3 linked regions of the Oryctolagus cuniculus genome follow. The protein of the gene in region 2 interacts with the protein of the main gene of each other region in a biochemical or structural test. Links are inferred from orthologs where the notes say so. Each region holds a gene or a part of one and is shown on either strand. Other genes may lie near its edges.

Region 1 (3,739 bases), on a different chromosome or scaffold from region 2:
TCGGAAAGCTTCTTGCGGTTCTGGGAGTCCTCGTGGATCCCCAGCTGAAACAGAGCCCGCCTGTGAGAACGGCTTCGGTTCACCACTCCCCGCGGGGCAGTGTGGACCCAGCTGGCAGCCGTCGGTGTGTCTGCACCCACCTTTATATTTTTGGAGAACTGCTCATAAAACTTCTTGTAATTCTCTTTGTCTTCTGCCAGTTCCGTGAAGAGCTCCAGACACTTTTTGACCAAGTTCTTCCTGATAACTTTCAGGATCTTGCTCTGCTGCAGCATCTCCCGGGAGATGTTCAGCGGGAGGTCCTCCGAGTCCACCACCCCTCTGATGAAATCTGAGGTAGCGGAGACCGCGCCCTCAGTCTAAGCACACACACACACACACCCCGCCCCCCCCCCCCCCAGCAGACGGACGAGACATGGTGGCATCACCAGCGACACTGGGCTCACTCCCGCTCCTACTCACTCAGGTACTCAGGGATCAGCTCCTCACAGTTGTCCATGATGAAGACTCTGCGAACGTACAACTTGATGTTGTTCTTCTTCTTCCGGTTTTCAAACAGGTCAAACGGGGCTCGTCTCGGGACGAAGAGCAGCGCTCTGAACTCCAGCTGCCCCTCAACCGAGAAGTGCTGCAACGACACACAGGCCCGGTGCCAACCACCACCACCGCGACGGCGCCGGGGCCGGGCTGCCACCCTCCGGGCGCGGGGCGCTCACCTTCACGGCCAGGTGGTCCTCCCAGTCGTTGGTCAGGCTCTTGTAGAACTCCCCGTACTCCTCGTTGGTGATGTCGTCGGGGTTCCTGGTCCAGATGGGCTTCGTCTTGTTGAGCTCCTCCTGGTCGATGTACTTCTCCTTGATCTTCTTCTTCTTCTTCTTGTCGCCGTCCTTCTTCTCCTCCTCCTCCTCGTCCGAGCCCACGTCCTCGATCTCCGGCTTGTCGTCGGGCTGCTTGTCCTCCTCCTCCTTGTCCTTGTCCTCCTTCTCCTCGGCCTCGTCGTCACTCACCTCCTTGTCGCGCTCCTTCTCCACGAACAGCGTGATGGGGTAGCCGATGAACTGCGAGTGCTTCTTCACGATCTCCTTGATGCGCCGCTCCTCCAGGTACTCCGTCTGGTCCTCCTTCAGGTGCAGCACCACCTTCGTGCCGCGCCCCATGGGCTCACCTGCGGGGAAGCCAGCGCGCCGGGTCGCACGGGGCGGCGGAACCCCGCGAGGCCAGCACGGCCCGGGCCAACGAGGCGGCGGAACCCCGCGAGGCCAGGCCGGCCCGGGCGAACGCGGCGGCGGAACCCCGCGAGGCCGGCCCCGCCAGCCCCGGCCCCCTCGCCAGCACGCCCAGCGCCCCTCCCCCTACCTGCGTCGGTCCGCACAGTGAACGAGCCCCCCGCCGAGGACTCCCAGGCGTACTGCTCGTCGTCGTTGTGCTTGGTGATCACCGTCACCTTCTCAGCCACCAGGTACGCCGAGTAGAAGCCGACCCCGAACTGGCCAATCATGGAGATGTCGGCGCCAGCCTGCAGCGCCTCCATGAAGGCCTTGGTGCCGGACTTGGCGATGGTGCCCAGGTTGTTGATCAGGTCGGCCTTGGTCATGCCGATGCCCGTGTCCACGATGGTCAGGGTTCGGTCTTGCTTGTTGGGAATCAGGTTGATGTGCAGCTCCTTGCCCGAGTCCAGCTTGCTGGGGTCGGTTAGGCTTTCATAGCGGATCTTGTCCAGAGCCTGGAAGACCCCAAGTCCTCAGCACCCAGCCGGCGCCCTCCCACCCCCGCCCCCCGAGGCCAGGGCCCCTTCCTCCCCGCCGCCACTTACATCCGACGAGTTTGAGATCAGCTCCCGCAGGAAGATCTCTTTGTTCGAGTAGAAAGTGTTGATGATGAGGGACATCAACTGGGCGATTTCCGCCTGGAAGGCGAACGTCTCCACCTCCTCCTCCTCCATCGGCTGGTCTTGGGTCTGGGTCTCCTCGGGCATCTGCCAAGGGCACGAGGCCCATCAGGCGCCGCACGGCCCCCGCCGCCCGCCCCGAGGCCGGCGCGGGCGCCTCACAAAGGGATGACCTCATTTCGAGCTGCGGCAGGCGCGGGAGCGTGCGCGCTGCGGGGCGGACGCCGCGGCCGGGCCCCGCTCGCCCCGCGCCGCCGCCGGCCGCCCTCCGCGGGCCGCGGCCCCGCCATGGCGGCCGGCACGGCACGGCCGGGGGCTGGGCGCCACCCCCCGCAGCCCCGCACCGGCGCCCCCGCCCCGCCCCCGCCCCGCGGCCTCTCCAGAACATTCGCGGCGCCCCCGGCCCGCCGGAGGCGGCTCCACAGGCCCCGGCCGCGGAGGCCGAACCGCGGCCGCTCGGGCACCGCGGCCGAGGGGGCCCCCGGCCGCCCCCGCTCCCCGCCGCCGCCCCCGCACACCCCCGGGCCTGAGACCCCCCGCAGCCCCCTCACCTTGGCTGAAGAACCGCACGGCCTCCGCGACGCAGCAGCACCGGGACGCTGGAGCAACTGGCGCGCCGCCCCCGCGCCGCCCTTATATAGAGGCGGGCCCGCCCAGCGCGCGGCGCCTTTTCGAGAAGCCTCCCGAACCTTCCGGAAGAACCCTCCCCAACCGCCACCGCGGCCACGCGCCTGCGCCTGCGCCCTGGCTGTGGCCCGCCCCTGCCCCGGGCTCGCGCACGACCCCGCGCAGGGAACGGCGGGCGCCCCCCGCCCGCCCGCGCCGCCGCGCGCCCTCGCGCCGGCCCCTGTGCGCCTGCGCGGGCTCGGCGCCTTCCGGGCTCCTAAGCCCGCCAAGCGCGGGCGCGAGCGCGGGCGCGTGCGCATGCGTCCTCGCGGCGCCGGGCGAGCCGGGGCGGGGGAGGGGGCGTCGAGCCCTGAGGTCCCTGCCCTTGTAGTGTGAAATGTGCAAAAAATGGCCCGTGGGTTATGACAGCTCGGGGCCGCTCCCAACGAGTCGCCCGCGCAAGGTGCAGCGGCCTGGGGTGCAGGCCTTGCCAGCTTTCGGTCGCCGGGCCGGGTCGTCCGCTGTGTCTGGGGACTGGGTTTTGGAGTCGTGCTGCGGGCCTGCGGCGGCGGTTACGGGTCGAGGGCTGCGTTCCGGCGCCTGGGCTTCCGCAGAGGTGCGGCCCGAGGCCGGGCGTGAGGAGGGCGAGGGCCGCGGAAGCCCCCCGGGCCGGCTCCCCGATGCCACGGCCTCCCCGTGCCCAGGTGCTGAACCACGCTCGCCCGGCCGCCGCCGCCGCCGGGGTTCCGGGAAACCCGTAGCCTTTCGCTTCCGGAGAAGCAGCGGCGTGCAGCGCCGGAGCCCCGGGGGCCGCCCCAGGCCAGGTCTAAGTGGGACTGGGGCGCTCGGAGCCCGGGGCGGGGGCGGCGGCGGCCGGGCCCTCCCCACGTGGGAGACCGCGTGGAGTCCCTGGCTCACGCTGCAGCCTGGCCATCTGGGGAGTGAACTTCCGGGTGGAAGACCTCTCTCACCCTACCTTTCAAATAAATGTTAAAAAAGAAAAAAAATAAGAGCCACATCCAGGCTGTAGGGTCCTCACTGTCAGCGTCGGGGTCTGCCCTGGAAGGACGCCGCGGCTCAGCGCGCCGGCCCTCGGAGCCTTTGTGTCCAGCTCTCCCTTTGTTGGCCCACTTCCTCCCTCGACGGGCCTGGCCCTCTGGAACAGCTGGACGCTCCCAACCTAAAGGCACCTGACCGCTCCGCTCCCTCGTGGTCTCTAGGAAAACCCGCTCTTCCAGGAGAAGG
Region 2 (3,207 bases):
AACTGGGCTGGGATGCGGTGTCCCTACAAGCTGCTGCGGATGGTGCTGGCCCTGGTGTGCAGTGAGTAGGGGCGGGGCGGGCGGGGCGGGCCCGCGGGCGGGGCGCCGCCCACCTGCCGCCTCCCTCCGCAGTGAGCTCGGAGGTGGGCCGCGCCGTGTGGCTGCGCTTCTCGCCGCCGCTGCCCGCCTCGGGCCCGCAGCCCAGCTTCATGGCGCACCTGGCGGGCGCCGTGGTGGGCGTGAGCATGGGCCTCACCATCCTACGCAGCTACGAGGAGCGCCTGCGGGACCAGTGCGGCTGGTGGGTGGTCCTGCTGGCCTACGGCACCTTCCTGCTCTTCGCCGTCTTCTGGAACGTCTTTGCCTACGACCTGCTGGGCGCCCACGTCCCCCCGCCGCCCTGACCGCCTCCTGGGCACAGGGGAGGCCCTGCCCCCGCCCCGCCCCCGGGTCCGCGGTCCGCGCCTTTTGCAGAGTGAATAAATATTTTACACGGCACCAGGTGGCTGTCCGGGGTCTGGAGGCGTCTCTGCCCCCCGCTTCCCGCGGACCGTGCGGGGCCCTCCCATCTACGAAGGGACTGGGCTGCGGCCCCAGGGGACAGGCGGTGGGTGTCCTGGCCCACGAGTTCGGCCTGCACGCCGTGGGGGAGGGGGCCAGGCTGGGGCCGGTCAGGCACGGTGTCCCACCGCCCATGCCGAGGGGGCGGCGCCGGCGGGGTCGCTCCCACCTGTGCGGACGCTGCCTCACGGGCCGCACAGGGTGCCCGGGCGGCTGCGGCAGCTGAGGCCGTACTCAGCTGCGGGTCAGGGCGTCCTGGGTCGTCTCCGCCGGCGGGGCCCGCCCCCGGGGGCCCGCACGCGCTGCACGCCTCGGCCTCCCGCTGCCCCCATGCCGGGGGCGGGGCGTGCGCGGAGGGGCGGAGCCCGGCCGCAGGGAGGCGGTCCTTCGGAGGCTCCGCGCGGCGGGCCCCGCCCCCACCCCGCCGCAGCGCGCACGCGCGACCCCGCCCCCCGCGGCCGGAAGTTCCGGTGGCGGCGATCCGGGCCGGGCCGAGCGGGGCGCGGGCTGCGGGCGGCCGGGCGCGGAGCCCGCGAGCGGAGCCCAGGCCGTGCCGCGCGGCGCCATGAAGGGCAAGGAGGAGAAGGAGGGCGGCGCGCGGCTGGGCGGCGGCGGCAGCCCCGAGAAGAGCCCGAGCGCGCAGGAGCTCAAGGAGCAGGGCAACCGGCTCTTCGTGGGCCGCAAGTACCCGGAGGCGGCGGCCTGCTACGGCCGCGCCATCGTGAGTGCGCCGCGCCGGGGGCGGGCCTGGCGCCGGGGCGCGGCCCTTCGGGGCCCCCCGGCTTGGGGCGTTTGACTCGGCCCCGGCGGCGGCGGCCGCCCGGGTGCGGGTGCGGTGCGGGTGCGGCCCGCGCGCACGCCCACAGCGCGGCCGCCCGCTCTCCCCAGACGCGCAACCCGCTGGTGGCGGTGTACTACACCAACCGCGCCCTGTGCTACCTGAAGATGCAGCAGCACGAGCAGGCGCTGGCCGACTGCCGGCGCGCGCTGGAGCTGGACGGCCAGTCGGTGAAGGCGCACTTCTTCCTGGGCCAGTGCCAGCTGGAGCTGGAGAGCTACGACGAGGCCATCGCCAACCTGCAGCGAGGTGGGCGCGCGGCGCGGGGCGCGCGGCGCGGCTGCGGGCGGCCGGCCGGGCTGACCGCGCGCCCCGCGCCCGCAGCCTACAGCCTGGCCAAGGAGCAGCGGCTCAACTTCGGCGACGACATCCCCAGCGCGCTGCGCATCGCCAAGAAGAAGCGCTGGAACAGCCTGGAGGAGCGGCGCATCCACCAGGAGAGCGAGCTGCACGCCTACCTCGCCAGGCTCATCGCGGCCGAGCGCGAGAGGTGGGCCCCTCCGCGCGTTTATTGACAGCGGGGCGGGGCGGGGCGGGGCGGGGCGGGTCCTGACGCGCGGCCGCTCGCCCGCAGGGAGCTGGAGGAGTGCCAGCGGAGCCACGAGGGGGACGAGGACGACGGCCACGTCCGCGCCCAGCAGGCCTGCATTGAGGCCAAGCACGTGAGGGCGGCCCGGCCGGCGGGCGCGGGCCCCGGGGGCGGCGGGGGCGGCGGGGGCAGGCGGCGCTGGGCCGGGGGAGGGCCGTGTGCGGCCCCGGGGCAGCGCCCCCTCGCTTCTTCCAGGACAAGTACTTGGCGGACATGGACGAGCTCTTCTCGCAAGTGGACGAGAAGAGAAAGGTGAGCCTTGTCGGCGGGGCCCGTGGGCAGGTGCCGGCCGCCCGCCCACTGAGCGCGCCCTGTGTGCAGAGGCGCGACGTCCCCGACTATCTGTGCGGCAAGATCAGCTTCGAGCTGATGCGGGAGCCCTGCATCACCCCCAGCGGCATCACCTACGACCGCAAGGACATCGAGGAGCACCTGCAGGTGGGTGCGGCCGCGGCGGCCCGGCCGGGCGCCCCGCCCCGCCGCGCCGCTGACCCCGCTGTCCCCGCAGCGCGTGGGCCACTTTGACCCCGTGACCCGGAGCCCCCTGACCCAGGAGCAGCTCATCCCCAACCTGGCCATGAAGGAGGTCATCGACGCGTTCATCTCGGAGAACGGCTGGGTGGAGGACTACTGAGCCCCTGCAAGGCCCGCCCCCGCCCCCGCCCCGGCGCCGCCCCTGTCCTGCAATAAAGTCCGTGAGCACGAGCGCTAGCCCAGGAAGGTGGAGATGAACACGCACGTGTCCAGGTTGAGCGTGGCGTGCCACCAGCGGGCCGGGAAGTACAGCACCTGCGGGAGGGGCGCGGGCGTCAGCGGGGGGCCTCGCCTCCCCCGCCCCGGCCCCGGCCCCGGCCCCGGCCCGGACCTCGCCCGCGGAGATGGTGCACTCGAGCGGCCGCGCGGCCGGGGCCAGGCCTGGGTACGTGTCCCGGAGCCAGGCCAGCGTGGTCTCGTTGGGGTGGAACTGCGGCGTCTTCTCGGGCGGGTACAGGAACCAGCGCTGGGGGAGGGGAAGCGCACGCTCACCCCGGGTCCGCGGGTCCGCGCGCCCAGCCCCTGCCCACGGCACTGACCTTGCGGCCGTAGATGACCTCCGAATACCCGGGCCCGTGCCAGTGGAAGGGCACCCCGGTGCCCGCGCCTGTGGGTTTGGCGGGTGAGCAAAAAACCACACCCCCCTGCCCTGCCCCCGTCCCCGGCTCCCGGGAGCACCTGCCAC
Region 3 (3,739 bases), on a different chromosome or scaffold from region 2:
GGGCCTCGGGCGCCCGCAGCTTGGAGTCCAGGTTGTAGTAGACGCCGTCCACCTGGCGCAGGGCCACCCAGTGCCGCCGGCGCAGCGGCAGGGACAGCAGCCCCAGCGAGACGGGGGAGGGCAGGTTCAGGATCAGCCCCAGCACCTGAGGCAGGGCCAGCTGGGACAGCGGCCTGCGGGCGGAGGGGACGAGGGGACTCGGTCGCCGGCCCTGCCGCCCGCCCCCACCCCCTCCCTCGCCCGCCCACCAGATCCAGGCCTGTCCAGTCTCCAGCACAGCCGCCGCCCATCCGCACCTCCCTCCACCCCCCCTGCCCCCCCCGCTCCTCCCTCACCCACCCACCCACCCGTGTCCTCCCCACTGCCGCCAGCCCACCTGCTCCTGCCCAGACTGCCCGTGAGTGGGCCCTCTAGCTCACCCCGTGGCCACGCGGCGCCCGGGGCCCTACCTCCTCCTGTCCCACCACACGGCGGCCAGGCCCAGGCCCTGCAGGGCGGCCATGATGACGTTGACGTCATAGCTGCCGGTGCCCAGGAAGCTGCGGTGTGGGTTCAGCCGGGAGTCTGGGGCCAGCCTGGGGGGCGGGCGAGAGTCGGGGTGGAGGCGGGGACCCCCTCTCTTCCCACACCGCAGGAAGGGCCCCTCGTCCTCGACTCATCCTTGTCTTCAATGCCCCCCAAGACCTGCACCTCTGAACCCCGACCCTGCCCTGCACAGAGCCCCTCGGCCCCTCTCGCCATCACCATCCCCCTCCTCTGTCCTGCAAGCCCACCCAAGGCGTCGCCTCCCTGGAGATGCCCGCTGACCCCCAGGCCCGGCCCTTCAGTGCCTGGGACCGCCTGGATGGCCGCCACTGGCCCCACTTGTCTCTGGGAGGACCCTGCCCCCGCCCCGCCCCCCCATCGACCCCGTCCCTCCTGCTCGCCCAGCGCCCACAGCCCTGCGTGGTCTGCTCCCTGCTGGCTCCACCTCCCAGCCTATGCTCCAGGCCCAGGGCCACCCTGCACCCCCACCCCATGTCTCTGGGCCCAGCCTCATCCAGCTTTGTCCCCAGCAGGCCCTGGGGGGCAGGTGGGAGGGGACAGCCCACCTCCCGCCCCCACCTCCCGCACAGATCCCTCGGGGGCTGTGGGTCAGCGGCGCAAGGCGGGCAGTGGGGAGAGACAGGCAGGGCCACTTCTGGGGTGCACGGGTGGGGTCAGGGGGAGGCCGGTGGACCAGGGCCAGGCCTGAGCCGGTGGCTGGGAGGGACAGCAGGCAGTGCAGACGCGATGCAGGCGTGAAGTCTGAAGTCTGGGCCGGTGAGGGCAGCCACGCCCGGCAGAGAGAACTAACTGCCCGTGCAAAGGCCCGGGGGCAGCACAGTGCGGGAGGCCCAGGGCCCGGGGCGCCAGGGGGACGGGCAGCAGGCTGGCTCCGGGGTTGTGTGGAGGCTGCACCGGCGGAGGCCCAGGTAGGAGGCGGCGGGCCGGGCGGTGGCGGTCACCTCTTACAGATGTCGTCGGCAGCCTCCTGGCTGAAGAGCCGCTGCTGCAGGACGTTGTTGAGGGCGTGCACGGCGCACAGCTCCAGGCGCTGCCGCTCGTGGTACACGGAGGGCGGGCGCGGCCGAGCTCCCGGGGCCTGGGACATGCCGTCCTGGGCTCCTCCTGCGGAGGGGGCGCAGAGGCCGCTCAGGGGCCCAGGGCCTGGGGGCGGCTTCCTCCATGGAGGGCAGGGCCTGGGCAGCCGGGGACGACACGGGACCCCCGCGCCCTGGCTCTCCAGGGACAAGGCTCCCTGGCATCCGGGGCTGGCGACGGAGACGCAGCCCTCCGCGGCCCTGGGCAACGGGACCCCCGCTGGTTACCTAGCAACGGAGGACCCCCCCCCGACAACAAAGTCTCTGATTACCCAGCGAAACCGGAAGTCTCCTCCCCTGCCTCTGGGTGACGGGGGAGGGGTCTCTACCGGTCGCCTAGCAACACCAGAGCCCGCCTTCCCCTGGCAACCAGCCCCCTCCCCGGACAACAGGAAAAGCAGCGCGGTGCCCAGGTCCCCTGCGCCTGGCGACGCCCCTCACCCCGTCGGCCTCTCTGCTCCCCGGAGCCGGGGGCTCCCGCATCCCCTCGGACGGCGGCGCTGGGCTCCGAGCGCGGCACGAGCAGTTCCGCGCTGACGGGGCAGGCGGGACGGACTACAGCTCCCAGCGACACCAGCAAAGTGGACTACAACTCCCGGCGGCCCCAGCGGGCAGGGCCGCTTAACCCGGAAGTCCGCCGTCGCCCCTCCAGGGCGCGCGACTATAACTTCCGTGGGTCGGGGGAGGAGGGGGTGCAAATCCCGGAAATGCGCCCCGCGCCCGCCCCCTGGCTGCGACCGCGCCCACGGCCGCTCGGAAGCTCCTGGGAAACGCAGCGGGTAGGTTCTCGCGATAGCTTCCGGGCCTGTGCCCGCCCATTGCAGTGGCGTCACACGCGGAGTGCGGACGCGGCGTGACGTCACGGAAGGGAAAGAAGGCCGGGATGGTGGGGGAGGAGCCTCGGGTCTTTACTGAGACTGGAGGGACATCCCGGGAAAGGGGGGCCGGGGCCTGGCCGGGGGTGGGGCGGAGGCGGGGAGGGTCCGCCCGCCGAGGGGCCGGCCGGGGAGGGCGGGGGCGGGGAGGGTCCGCCCACCGAGGGGCCGGCCGGGTGGGCGGAGGCTTCTCAGCAGAGGTGGATTCCGGGCCCGGGGGGCAGCTGGCGGCAGCCTGCGGGGGAGACAGGAGCTGAGCCGGACCCCCGCGGGGGCACGGGGCAGTCGCGGAGCGAGAAGGCTGGGGGGCTCGGAAGTAATGGACGTCGGGCCAGGCGGACCCAGGCCCCCCGGCCTCCGGTCCCCCGGCCCTCCGCCCCCCAGACCCTGGCCCCGGGCCCCTGCCCCCGGACCCCCGGACCCCGCCCCCTGGATCCCCGGGCCCCGCCCCCAGACCCCGGTCCCGCCCCCCGGACCCCGCCCCCAGACCCCCGGCCCCCGGATCTCGGGACCCCGCTCCAGGGGCCGGCCGCACCCAGGAGGCTGCGCCAGAAAGCCGCGACGGTGGCCGAGCCCGTGACGGCGCCCGGCTCTGCAGGGTTCTCTCTGTGGGTGTGCACGGCAAAGCGCCGGCCCGTGGGCCCCGGGGGTCCGCGCAGCTCCACGTCCACGACGTGCATGTCCGCGAGGCTGCAGGAGGCGGGGGGGGGTCAGTGTGGGGGCCTGCAGCCCGCGCGACCCCTCCCCGCTCAGCTCCGCTCACCTGAGATCGGCCACCAGCACCCCGATCACGCCGTCGAAACCCAGGCTGGGGGCAGCCAGCGCAGCGGCCGCCATGGTGTTGGAGTTACGCGGGGCAAAGGGGCAGAGTCCACGGACGGGGCCTTCGTAGAGGACCGTGCGAGGCCCAGTGCTGTGGGCTGCGGCAGCCAGGGGTCCCTCGAGCCGGAAGCCATCCGGGTGCGTGGCCATAGTGACGCGGAGGCTCTGGGAGCGGGGGCCGAGGTCAGAGGGGCTGGGGTCCTGCAGGCCCCCTCCGGCCCCGGGGAGCCCAGCGGGTCCCTCACCTGGAGGCCTCCGGCCGCGTCCAACCTCATGATGTCCTCAGCGCCCCACAGGGCCCCTCGAGCCACAAACACAGCGTGGTTCCAGCGCTGCGAGGCCTCCCGGAGCTGCCGCTCGGTGGTCGGGTCAGCCAGCGCCGAGGGTGACCCCACCTGGCCGTGGGTGGAGGCAGGGAGG

The links.
Region 1: the proteins of STUB1 (region 2) and HSP90AA1 form a complex in vitro, tested with the Homo sapiens proteins (14 studies listed by BioGRID and IntAct, with this or other methods). The link is inferred for Oryctolagus cuniculus from reciprocal best matches to the Homo sapiens genes STUB1 and HSP90AA1.
Region 3: the proteins of STUB1 (region 2) and JOSD2 form a complex in vitro, tested with the Homo sapiens proteins (2 studies listed by BioGRID, with this or other methods). The link is inferred for Oryctolagus cuniculus from reciprocal best matches to the Homo sapiens genes STUB1 and JOSD2.

Annotation. Positions count from the first base shown.
Region 1 is NC_091451.1:45,356,594-45,360,332, forward strand, and holds the start of HSP90AA1 (heat shock protein HSP 90-alpha), read right to left. Parts: upstream 2,685-3,739; 5' UTR 2,440-2,684; intron 1,976-2,439; coding exon 1,814-1,975; intron 1,724-1,813; coding exon 1,357-1,723; intron 1,166-1,356; coding exon 717-1,165; intron 629-716; coding exon 463-628; intron 332-462; coding exon 141-331; intron 45-140; coding exon 1-44. UniProt on the Homo sapiens protein: Molecular chaperone that promotes the maturation, structural maintenance and proper regulation of specific target proteins involved for instance in cell cycle control and signal transduction.
Region 2 is NC_091450.1:34,026,445-34,029,651, reverse strand, and holds STUB1 (E3 ubiquitin-protein ligase CHIP), read left to right. Parts: upstream 1-1,126; coding exon 1,127-1,282; intron 1,283-1,449; coding exon 1,450-1,648; intron 1,649-1,723; coding exon 1,724-1,889; exon of another isoform or gene 1,890-1,973; coding exon 1,974-2,061; exon of another isoform or gene 2,062-2,183; coding exon 2,184-2,426; exon of another isoform or gene 2,427-2,496; coding exon 2,497-2,622; 3' UTR 2,623-2,693; downstream 2,694-3,207. Other genes in the region: RHBDL1 (rhomboid-related protein 1), read left to right, coding at 1-61, 133-787; JMJD8 (jmjC domain-containing protein 8), read right to left, coding at 2,697-2,777, 2,854-2,988, 3,062-3,129, 3,201-3,207. UniProt on the Homo sapiens protein: E3 ubiquitin-protein ligase which targets misfolded chaperone substrates towards proteasomal degradation.
Region 3 is NC_091449.1:7,410,309-7,414,047, reverse strand, and holds the start of JOSD2 (josephin-2), read right to left. Parts: upstream 2,434-3,739; 5' UTR 2,064-2,433; intron 1,851-2,063; 5' UTR 1,634-1,850; coding exon 1,488-1,633; intron 576-1,487; coding exon 450-575; intron 174-449; coding exon 1-173. Other genes in the region: ASPDH (aspartate dehydrogenase domain-containing protein), read right to left, coding at 2,689-2,732, 3,033-3,187, 3,261-3,484, 3,565-3,714. UniProt on the Homo sapiens protein: Cleaves 'Lys-63'-linked poly-ubiquitin chains, and with lesser efficiency 'Lys-48'-linked poly-ubiquitin chains (in vitro). May act as a deubiquitinating enzyme.